Linked DNA regions of Oryzias latipes. The protein of the gene in region 3 purifies or fractionates together with the protein of the main gene of each other region. This does not show direct contact. Links are inferred from orthologs where the notes say so. Each region holds a gene or a part of one and is shown on either strand. Other genes may lie near its edges.

Region 1 (3,651 bases), about 12 Mb from region 3:
TTTAGGTTTAAATATAACCTCTATATCTAAAATAGAAGTGAAAGGACTCCCACTTATGTGTTTAAATTTTATAAGAAAATAAGTCAAATACGTAGCGCCTTATAGCACCTCAAATATAGTGTTGCTCTCTGCTCATCTTACAGCTCCTTTTATTTCTGTCAGTGGACGGGTATTTCTTTACTTTTCTAAAGCTGGGTCAGCTTTCTTATGCTCTCATATGAAGTGCAGGTTTTAGGCTGTGCAGCTATTTTGCTGTCAGGCTCTTGTGTTGAAAGCAACGTCTAAGTGTGCCAAAGTTCAATTTTATTTCTTGTTTATTTCTTGTTTTCTCATTGGAAAATGGGAGCAGCTCTGCCCTGGCAACAAAAGTAGGCTATTTGCATACTGCGTTGTGATTGGTCTGTGCGTTGATGGGCTTGCCAAATCACGCTGTATCTCTGTGGTGATAGGCTATGCTAATTAGGTGCTGTTGCTGGGATTCTGAATAGTGGTTACTGTGTAGCACTGGTGAATTGTGTTGTCTGGTGAGAGATGCTGATAGCTGAACATGCTATTTAATAATTTTTTGATTCCTTCTGGCTTAAAATGAAGGATGATTCACCGTACAGTGTGGAGATGCTGTATTCTCACCCCTTTTCACTGTTAAACTGGCTGTTTTTTCCCCTTTTCCTCACAAAGGTTGACATATTTCTGCTGTGTTTTGATTTTTTTGGGGTTGTCCTTTGATTGCATTGTTTAACGTGTACATGTTTAACATAGCACTGTGTATAAACCTGACATTTAATTCTTTAATTTACTAGATTTTGCTGTTTTTGTTGGTGTTTATCATCATTTGAGATTGATTATTAACACAAATGTAAATAATGCTGTTAATTTGCATTTATAAATTCCTATAGATAATTTCTTTTCATCTTAAACTAAGCTGAAGTTTTTTTTGTAAATCTAAACAACAAATAATGTTTCTTTATTATATTGTTTTACCTGTAAATAACATAATACATCTTGCTGGCTTTCTTTGTAGCGTTAAATCTCTGATGACCTCTTTTATTTTCCTTTTTCACTTTTGTATGTTTCTCTGTTCAATGACTTTAAAGGGAACTTTAATTTCCTTTTTAGGAGGAGAGACTTCAGCATGCAAACCTTCGTCCGTCCGGCTTGCGCCCTCTTTTTCTTTACACACTGCTGGTCTTCAGATGGCTGCTCCAATGCCCCATACGCACCAGCAGTACAGTGACCGCCACCAGCCAACCACTGACCAATCTGTTACGGTTTTACCGTACAGCGACCAGACACCACAGCTCACTGCCAATCAGGTACAATCACCCTTCCCACTGCCCTTTTAGGATTTACAGGAATAGCTAAACTTAATTGCACACAAAAGTTTGCTCCCTTTTTTTAAACAAGTATCACTAGGCAGAGTAGCTGCATGTCAAATGTCTTTCTGTGTAATTGTGTCACATTGTGTTAACAGCTTTGAAGTTTAAACACAAACCCTGTAAGAGGAACTTTTTACTTCTAAAGTTGTGTTTCTTTTGTTTGTTTGTAAAATGTTGTTGTACTTTTATTTCAGAGGCACATGCCCCAGTGCTTTCGTGACCCAACTTCAGCTCCCCTGAGGAAGCTCTCCATCGACCTTATCAAAACATACAAACACATCAATGAGGTGAGGCTTTGCTTTAGTAAAAGTTCAAATCATTCTTTGACATTTGTTTTCCCCTTGTTTTAAGATGTTTGCTATTTCAACATTCTTTTTTTTTAAATTGGTAGTCTTTATTATTTTATGAATTTGTTGTTCATAAAGATAGATATTTTTAATTTATAAGAAAAAAACATTATTATTCATTTAAAAAAACAGGAATTTTATACATGAAAAACCTAATTTGTTGGAGCAAAATCCAAAGGAACATTTAACATTTCCTGAAGAAATCTCTGCATGTGCTTTTCTGAAATGCATTCAATTTTCTTTTTTTCTTTTTCAGGTTTATTATGCAAAAAAGAAGCGGCGGCACCAACAGGGTCAGGGTGAAGACTCCAGTCACAAAAAGGAGAGGAAGGTTTTCAATGATGGCTATGACGATGATAACTATGACTACATCGTCAAGAATGGGGAGAAGTGGATGGACCGCTATGAGATCGATTCCTTAATAGGAAAAGGATCATTCGGACAGGTGAGGAATTAAAACTGACAGTCTGTTATTTGTCCACTTCTAAGGGGTTCCAGCTTTCTGACCTTCCTTTTTTTGGTTTTAAATCTTGATGTTTAGTGTAACAAATGTGCTTCAGATATAATACTTTTAACATATTTAATACTGGTTTTGTTCAATTCTCAGGTTGTGAAAGCTTATGACCGAGTAGAGCAAGAATGGGTTGCCATTAAGATCATTAAGAACAAGAAAGCTTTCCTTAATCAAGCCCAGATTGAAGTGCGCCTTCTGGAGCTTATGAACAAACATGATACGGAGATGAAATACTATATTGGTAATTTACTTTTGATGTCCCACATACAGAACAAATCCAACGGCTTGCAGTGTCAGCGACTAACGCGTCCAATTTTTGTTTCTTTGCAGTCCACCTGAAACGTCACTTCATGTTCCGTAACCATCTCTGCCTCGTGTTTGAAATGCTGTCATATAATTTATACGACCTGCTTCGAAATACCAACTTCCGCGGCGTCTCACTCAATCTCACCCGGAAGTTTGCCCAGCAGCTATGCACGGCACTACTCTTCCTGGCCACCCCCGAGCTCAGCATCATCCACTGTGACCTGAAGCCCGAGAACATCCTCCTTTGTAACCCCAAGAGGAGTGCCATCAAAATAGTGGACTTTGGCAGTTCATGCCAACTGGGACAAAGGGTATCTACCATCATATATTTCATCTGCTATACAGTCTATGTGTGTTTGTGAGAAATGGTTTGCAATTTTCAACAAAAGCAATGCGCTTTACAGTCACCCTCACTTCCCACGCTTTGTGTTTGTAGATATACCAGTATATCCAGAGTCGCTTCTACCGTTCTCCAGAAGTGTTGCTGGGAATGCCCTATGACCTGGCCATCGACATGTGGTCCTTGGGTTGCATCTTGGTAGAGATGCATACCGGAGAGCCTCTATTTAGTGGAGCCAATGAGGTATAAAACATGATAAAAATATCAAAGACATATGTGGAGCTTATTGATAACAGGAATATCGAAAAGTCACCTTGTTTGTAGTTCTTCAATAAAAAAGTACCCTTAAAACTGGATTTGTAAGCCGTGGTGTGTTCCTACAAGAGCTTAGAAGCATTTTGACATTTACCCTCATTTATAATGAGTGCAAATACTTATTAAAAGATGCATTTGGTTTCTTCAGGTGGACCAGATGAACAAAATAGTCGAGGTTCTTGGCATCCCACCCAATCACATAATGGACCTAGCCCCAAAAGCCAGGAAGTTCTTTGAGAAGCTTTCAGATGGTACATGGAGTGTTAAGAAGACCAAAGATGGCAAAAGGGTGAGTTGACAGCTTTAACGCCAACTGATGGGTGCTGATGACGGAACTGTCTTGTTTGATGTCTTGATATGCACATTAAAAAGCTTTACATGTCTTTGGTTTCTTTGTAGTATAAGCCTCCAGCTTCGCGGAAGCTCCACTCCATCTTAGGTGTGGAGACGGGC
Region 2 (3,651 bases), on a different chromosome or scaffold from region 3:
AATACCTCAAAACAAGATTAATGAGTATTTATGTTGGCAATAAACTGGTTTGAGTAGAACTTGGTCCCTTTTTTCTCTTCGTAAATCCTTACGATCAGATCTTCTTTATAGCGTGATAAAATGCGATGTTTGACAGCCTGCTCCTTTATTGTTGAGTGCGCTTAGAAGACATTCCCAGCATCCTCAGTGAAACTGAATCACTTTACCCCGACGTTCACAAACTTAACCGAGACCTAAGCTCCTTTTTTTTTGGGCGTTTTGAGCACAAAGCAGCCTCAAATTCACCAACAGATCTATTTTAGTCACAGATGAAAAAATGGATGCATTTGTCATGGCAAATAGCAACGCCGTTAGTCTGGACTGGAATGCTTCCCTACATACAAGGCGTGTGCTTCTGTAGACTTCAAAGACAGACTGCAGCCTGACTTTCCTGCTCCATGAGCCTTTTCCCCTTCTGCCTCATAAGCTCTATCCCTTCATATCACCACACCTTTAGATTCTACATTTACAAATTTAAAAAAAGTTATTAAATAAATCAACAAACACATCTGGTGAGTCTGAAAGCTTTCAAATGTGACTAGATTTTCCTCTCCAAAAAGTCTTTCACAGATGACAAAAATGTTCAATTGGATGTGGAATATGTAAAGCTGCAAACGTTACAGCAATAATCTCCTTATCCAGTGTGATGGCTCCCATTAGCACATTTGATCCAAGCTGAGGGTGATACCTTAGTCGTGAGGACCTTGAAGCTGCTCTGCTGGGGGAGGATGGGGTGCAGCAGGTGGAGGTGGAGGTTGTAGTTCTCCCCACATGGCAGCTGCATCTCTGCAGAGAGCTAAAAATACGAGACAGCAGATATTACTTTCTTTTTTTTCCTCCTTCAAAAGGTTCATCTGTAGAGAATAAGCAAACCGACATGTTTGTAAGGACTTATTGAATGAGGCACGCGGATATTAAGACGGAACACGTACACAACAAAATCAGCCTATATTATTTTTTTCTGCCCGACACAAAAGAAATGAGGAAACAGGAAGAAAGAAAAGGAGGTGAAGGTGTGAGTTTATTCATGGAGGTTATCGTCTGATAAACTGGTGTACCTGCACCACGCCAGCTCACTGATAAGTGGGGGGGTTTGCACATTCTATGATGTCACTCAAATGTTTGTTGATTTAGAAAGACAAGGGTACAGCTTCAACCCTGTAATCATACTTCTAGAAAAGTGCTACTCTGTTTCTTCTTTGACTGCAGATACTATCCATCATTCTATGCTGTTATACTATAAAATACTATGATAAGCTTGTTTTACCACAGCAGGCTCTGTTTCGGCAAGGTGTTTGCACTTTTCCATCAAAATACAATGATGGGAGTCAATATGCTGCAAAAGTGATTTGCAGGAAAATACACAACGGTGTGTGCTTTGTGTTGAAAGCAACTGCTGGTGTCAATTCCTTCTTTTAACATCTAAACCGGATAAAAGTTTTTAATGTAAGCTTTTATTTCTGCGTTTCAACTTTTTTTTTAATCAATAGCAAAAAAAATATTTAAAAAAGGCTTTTTATAACCAAACGGTCAGTTTTGAGAGGAAGTTCAGCAAAAAAAAAAAGAAAAAAAAAAAAAAGAAATGAACAAATAAATAAATTGAAAGTGAATCGTGAATCCAAATCATACTGATTTTGTGCTTTGGCTGCCAGCCTGAATATGAAGGAAATCGAAAGGATGTTCAGATGACCGGATGATATAACAGATTGTTTTTCATCCCTTTAACACCAGAGCTTTAGCTCCAGTGCTGCCATTCAATCAACTACTGTAACTATTCAACCGTTTATGCATTTAGTGCAGTTTCAGCGGAGATTAAGCCTTGCACTGATTATGCAACACTTTACAGCAGTGAAGTGCTAACGTGCTCGATGTAAAGCAGCTGATTTTGTTGCGGAAAAAAAAATTAAATAAAATTAAAAATAACAGTATTGCGCTGTTATGCAAGCAAAACACTCTGTTAGTCATGTTAAAAAGTAAATAAACGCTTTTCTGCTCATCAAAATAAGATAAATCCTGTTGATCCCGGAAACAGTCGAATAGTTACGGTATTATAACGAGTTTTCGTTATTTAGGTTTTGCCGGAGCAATCTTCAGTTTTAAAGTGTGTAATGGAAATAATTATCAATGGAGGCCCAGACTATGATACTGTCACCAATAGTATGGTACACATAGATGATAAAGACTCTCCCCTGATTCACACATGGGCAAATTTTTGTTTTATTTTTTACAGTGCTCAGCATAAATGAGTACACCCCACTACATTTGTCAGAAAACCTTTAGTGTCCTTTCAGAGTCAACATTTACTGTGAAACACTACAAAAATAGTCCGTTGATTGCAAACAAGATATGTTAAAGTGTACAGCGCACACAAAAAAGTGATTTTCCTAACAAATTAATTCAAGTCCATGCTGCAATAATGAGTACACCCCAGTTATAGTTTTAGGAGAAAATTGTAGTAGGTTTAGGGGATGTCATCTGGACTTTGTTTTAAGTTTGAAGACGTTTCACCTCTTATCCATGAGGCTTTGTCAATTCTGAATTAGCTGGTCGAAGAACTGGTATATATGCACTCATGGGGGAGGAGTCAGACCTGAAACTGGATGGTATTGTCAACTTAGCCTACAGGTTTCTGGTCGTTAAGAGTCCTTTGTCCTCAGCTGGGGGTTGGGGAGCCAGTGACTCCCTCCCCAAACTGGTCAACCCTTTCAGCTACTAACGACCCAGGTGGAACTGGTTTGGTTTGTTTAGGTTTCAAGACACCGCCGTAGATGGATGGAAGAATAAAACTGAGAGCACCATTCTTATTAAGAGAAGATTTATCCTTCTTGACAAAGATGGCTTCTTTCACTCCTCGCTCAAACCACCCTTTGTCTCTGGCTAGAATTCGGACTTCACTGTCCTCGAATGAGTGGTTTGTGGCCTTCAGGTGGAGGTGCACTGTAGACTCAGGTCCACTTGGGTTGGCTCTGCGATGTTGGTAAAGCTGCTTGTGTAGAGGTTGTTTGGTTTCTCCTATATACTGTTCCTTGCAGTTCTCTTTGCAGTGGATAGAGTACACAACATTACTCTGTTTTTAGCTGGGAATTTTGTCCTTTGGATGAACCAGTTTTTGTCTGAGAGTATTAACTGGTTTGAGATGAACTGGGATGTTATGTTGTTTGAAAATCCTTTTTAGTTTTTCAGACAGGCCTGAGATATACGGAATTGAAATACTGTTCCTTTTCGGCTCTTGTTCCTTCTTGTCTTGTTTTTCTATATGTTGGGATCTGGTGAATGCCCAGTTGGGATATCCACCGGTTCGGAGGGCTCGGCGGATATGTTGCTCTTCTTTCTTCTTTCCCTCAGAGCTTGTGGGCACCTCCTGGGCTCAGTGTTGCAGTGTCACGATAACGCCTAGTTTGTGCTGTAAGGGGTGGTTTGAGTCAAATAACAGGTACTGTTACAAAGGACTCTTAACGACCCGAAACCATGTAGGCTAAGTTGACAATACCATCCAGTTTGACTCCTCCCCCATGAGCGCATATATACCAGCTCTTGGACCAGCTAATTCAGAATTGACAAAGCCTCATGGATAAGAGGTGAAACGTCTTCTAACTTTAAAACCAAGTCCAG
Region 3 (4,229 bases):
CCCAGCTGCTCCGGCAGACACCCCAACTTGTTGTTGGAGGCGATCAGGACTTTCAGGGGGAGGCTGCAGACCACCGGGGGGAGGAAGGACAGCTGGTTCCGGCTGCAGCACACAGACGGGTCAGAACTAGGGCTGCACAGAGTATCCGAATACTCGGATACTCACCACCTGTTCCCCAAAATACCAGTCCGAGTATTGGTGACGTCTGAGATCTTTATAAACCAAACGCAGCGAAAATACGTGTAAACGGGTAAATGCGACTGGGACAGGAAGTAACAAAACTTCAAAGTAAAAGTCTCCAGTGTTTTTTGTCGATTAAAGTGACTCAAGTTTAGTTTACTGAAAAAAACTAAAATTAATAGATTAGAATAAAAACAGAATAGAGAATAAAATAAAAAATCAGGTTAATGTAGGAATATTACAATAATCTTGTCATTATTTTCCTCTAAATATGAAAACGTGTCTGTTGGAAACACAGACGTCGGTTTAAACGTTTGGACTGCGAGCCTTTTCTAGTTGTTCTATTTCTACAGAGCTGTTTGTTCGTTTGTTGTGAAATGATCCAAAACAACAACAATGTTTAGGTTTCGTTTCCTGCTGAAGTTAACCAGGAAGTTGGCAGAAAACCTGAAGTGATGAAAATCTTTCTTTCTCTCTGAATCTTTGGTTGATCTTCAGCTCCACATAAAGACACAAATACTTTCATCCAGTAAGAAGACACATTCAGACATCTTTGGGTTAAATAATGACAATTCTGCTGTCAATCGTAGATTTGTGACTCGGGTTCAATCCACAGGCCGAGTCAGAACCCAGAACCCAACAGAACCCAGTCAGCCGGCGAGCTTCAGTCCCAGTGAGGAACATCAATATTAATCTAGATATGCCGGTTCCTTTAGGAGTAACGTGGATCATACAGAGTCTGATGGATTGGGTTCTGGAGTTTAGTTCTGGTTGATGTTCCAGAACCTGCTTTAAACCAGCCGTGGTGAAGGAGAACCAGCCGGGCTTGTGCTGGAATCTGGATCAGAACTGGACGCTCTGATACTGTTGTTATTGCCCCGCTAATGTTAGGGGCTGTAAGCTAGCAGAACCATCCTGGAAAGAACGCTCAGATGTCAGAAGATGATCGGCATGGGACTTTAAAACGTTCCCAGACTCCGCCCATTTCTGCTGCCGCGTTGTGTTGGCGAGGAAGTGTGTGTGTTTGTGTGTGTGTGTTTGTGTGTGTGTGGTGTTACCTGAGGTTCAGGTAGGTCAGGGCCTGCAGGTTCAGCAGGCTGTCCGGAAGAGAGCGCAGACAGTTCTGGTAGAGGTTCAGACTCTCCAGAGACACGAAGACGCAGACCTCCAGAGGGAGCTCGGACAGACGGTTCCGGGACAGATCTGAGGACAGACGCACAGCGCGGGTTTGATGCCTGAGTGAAAGGAGACGCACGCGGCCGGGACGTCTGGAACCGCCTGGGTCTGCTGTCCCTGCAGAGACCTTCAGCTGAGAAGGACAGCAGCCATTCCTCCCTCTAACGGACGGTTTAGAGCAGCAGTGGATGCAGTTTACTTTTAGAGACGCAGCCGTGGAGTGGTGGACCAGACTCCTTCATGCACTAGAATTAGTCTGCTTAGTGTCAGCAGGTCCTTTCTGGCCTCCAGCCCACCAGAACCCTCCATCGTGAGGCCAGAATCTCCAGATCTTTATAGAGACGGACAGAACCCGTTTCTGCTCACGTTCCTTCAGGGGGCGCCGGACAGGCCGACGGATCCGATCAGCTGCATCCGCGACACCAGGGTCCTCCTTCTGCGGCCGCCTGTGTTTGCAGCGAGGAACCTTCATCCAGGGACGGACGCCGTCGTCAAGGTAACCACAGGTCACATGATGACGGAGTCATGAACACCTGCAGGACGCTCCTGATCCGGCTGAACCGAATCGGTCGTGATGAGGATGAGGAGGAGGAAGCCCAGCTGACTGCATGGAGGCTTTTGGGTTCCACCGGGCTAACACAAGAACCGGAACATCTTTCCGTTAGAAAACCGAAGAAAATCGTTTGACGTGCGTTTGTTTTGTCACTCGGAGCGGCGCGCAGAGCCGCGGGGGGCGGAGCTTCGGTAGGTCAACCGTCACTGACCGTGATGGAAACCAAACCGGTTTGTTCCTCTTTCCCGGCAGCGCAGCCGCCGCGGTTCCGGTTCGGCCGAACCGGCACCAAGTCCACCTGTCTGGTTGTTTCCCCGCTGAACCCTGACAGGTGGTAGACCCCATCGGGCGGGCACGCGCGCGCCCCCATCCCCCCCACACGTATTCACGCGCATCCATCCAGCTGAAGGTCCGGCCGAACTGGACTCAAACAGCACCGTCACAAACACGAGGGTCCCGGTTCTGGGTTCAAACAACCGAAATCGGGGCCAGCCCGTCTCAGCTCGGGGGCAGAAACTCTCCCAGCACCGCCCTGACGGTCCATCCATCTGCCCCGGAGGCAAACACTTGGATTCAAACTTTTCACGAACTCCGGACGGTCCCGGGTTTCCTAAGGGAACCGATAAGCGGCAGCGGTTCCGGTCCGCCTGGAGCCCTGACGCGCACTTACCGGCCCTGGTGGTGTCCGTCAGGTCGTGGTTGTTGGAGCTCCGAGGAAACTCCTTCAGCTTCCTGCCGCTGAGGTTCAGGCAGCCGGTCACCGACGCTTCGTCCAGCGCGCGGTCCACAGAGCGGTTCCAGGGCGCCGGCCCGGGTGGGCCCAGTCCGTTAGAGTTCCCGACTGCCGCATTCTCGCAGCCGCCGCCGCCTCCGGGGATGAAATTAAGCCTGGATCCGTCCGCAGACCCCAGCAACACCGAGGCCGCCATTACACGCTCCGCCTGCTAGCTTTCGTTGCTAACAGCTAGCTGGGCTGGCTCCCACCCTGAACTCGGAGCGGCGCATGCGCACCGCGATGCTGACAGCTAGCTGGGCTGGCTCCCACCTTGAACTTGGAGCAGCGCATGCGCACCGCGCACCGCGGGATCACAACAATTTTTTGGATTATTTTTCTGGCTAACAACAATTCTTCTAAACTAAACTTTATTGTGAACAATACGTAAAACAAAACACTAAACGTATATGGAGTGATGCTTGAAAGCAAAACATTTTTTTGAAAGCAAATATTTAATACTTTTAGTTTTGTGTGTAGTAACATGGTGGCATAAATATCACTCCATAGCACTACAGTGCAACAGGCACATGAGCATACAACATCAACACACCAGAGGGTTACTCTAAAAAACTCTTAGAAATTCAATTATGTGTGTTCGGCTACAAACCAAGAACCACAGGATGTATTTCAGATATTTTACTGTTACAGTGATGTCACCATGGTGCTAAAAGGTTAAATATAAACTAAACTCACAGTACAGTACAGAACTCACAGTACAGTACAGTACAGTACAGTACAGTACAGTACAGTACAGTACAGTACAGTAAGGTATCATTTAGAGAAATTCAGTCGTCTGGTTAACAATGTGATCGCTATGAAACTCTCATTAAAGTTAAGTTGTAAAAACTTTTTCTGCCGTCCTAAAATAACATTTTTTTGTTGTGTTTGTGTGGATATGCGTGTGTGTTGTGTTTGTGTGGATATGCGTGTGTGTGTTGTGTTTGTGTGGTTTCAGGGAGATGCCGTTTCTTTCAGTCTGTAGCTCCGCCCCTCCATGGTGTTGCTCCTCCTTCTTCCACCTCTGTCAGCAGAACCATCAGCTTCTCTTCAATCCAAACGAATCACATTAAAGGTCGTCTGTCTTGAATAAACAGGACCACAGGCCGCCCTGCGGTCAGGAATAGAAGTCACTTAGCTTTAAATAATGACCTTCATAGAAACCTGCATCTGTCCACAACCGCCTACCAACTGACCCCCATGACTCAGAACCGTCTGGTCTTTAGAACCGGTTCATGTCTATAGACTGAATCCACCTGGATGGAAGAACGTCTCCACAGACCTGCACCGGCCAACCCACAACATCAGAACTCTGGGAAAATAAAAGCTAAAGAGCCACTCTACTGAAAATGGTTTTGGTGTTCTCGCAGCATTTTTGCCACGATGGAGAACATTTAGGATCAAAACTGCATTTCTGATTTCTTGATTCAAATCAGGAGCAGATTAAAAATGCAGTCAGTGAAATGGGCGGGACCAAAGTCTCCATGCTCCGCCCCTTTCTGATTATCCACCTGCAGACCAACAGATCCATGACCGTCTTTGTGTTCC

The links.
Region 1: the proteins of lrch3 (region 3) and dyrk1a purify together in Homo sapiens (affinity purification with mass spectrometry; 3 studies listed by BioGRID and IntAct, counting the BioPlex papers as one, with this or other methods). This does not show direct contact. The link is inferred for Oryzias latipes from reciprocal best matches to the Homo sapiens genes LRCH3 and DYRK1A.
Region 2: the proteins of lrch3 (region 3) and sugt1 purify together in Homo sapiens (co-immunoprecipitation; 3 studies listed by BioGRID and IntAct, counting the BioPlex papers as one, with this or other methods). This does not show direct contact. The link is inferred for Oryzias latipes from reciprocal best matches to the Homo sapiens genes LRCH3 and SUGT1.

What each region holds. Positions count from the first base shown.
Region 1 is NC_019871.2:12,327,981-12,331,631, forward strand, and holds part of dyrk1a (dual specificity tyrosine-phosphorylation-regulated kinase 1A), read left to right. Parts: intron 1-1,116; coding exon 1,117-1,313; intron 1,314-1,570; coding exon 1,571-1,663; intron 1,664-1,979; coding exon 1,980-2,168; intron 2,169-2,330; coding exon 2,331-2,478; intron 2,479-2,567; coding exon 2,568-2,854; intron 2,855-2,979; coding exon 2,980-3,126; intron 3,127-3,346; coding exon 3,347-3,487; intron 3,488-3,597; coding exon 3,598-3,651. UniProt on the Homo sapiens protein: Dual-specificity kinase which possesses both serine/threonine and tyrosine kinase activities. Exhibits a substrate preference for proline at position P+1 and arginine at position P-3.
Region 2 is NC_019875.2:17,058,336-17,061,986, reverse strand, and holds part of sugt1 (protein SGT1 homolog), read right to left. Parts: intron 836-3,651; coding exon 728-835; intron 1-727. UniProt on the Homo sapiens protein: May play a role in ubiquitination and subsequent proteasomal degradation of target proteins.
Region 3 is NC_019871.2:14,459-18,687, forward strand, and holds the start of lrch3 (leucine-rich repeat and calponin homology domain-containing protein 3), read right to left. Parts: upstream 2,942-4,229; 5' UTR 2,839-2,941; coding exon 2,580-2,838; intron 1,384-2,579; coding exon 1,239-1,383; intron 103-1,238; coding exon 1-102. UniProt on the Homo sapiens protein: As part of the DISP complex, may regulate the association of septins with actin and thereby regulate the actin cytoskeleton.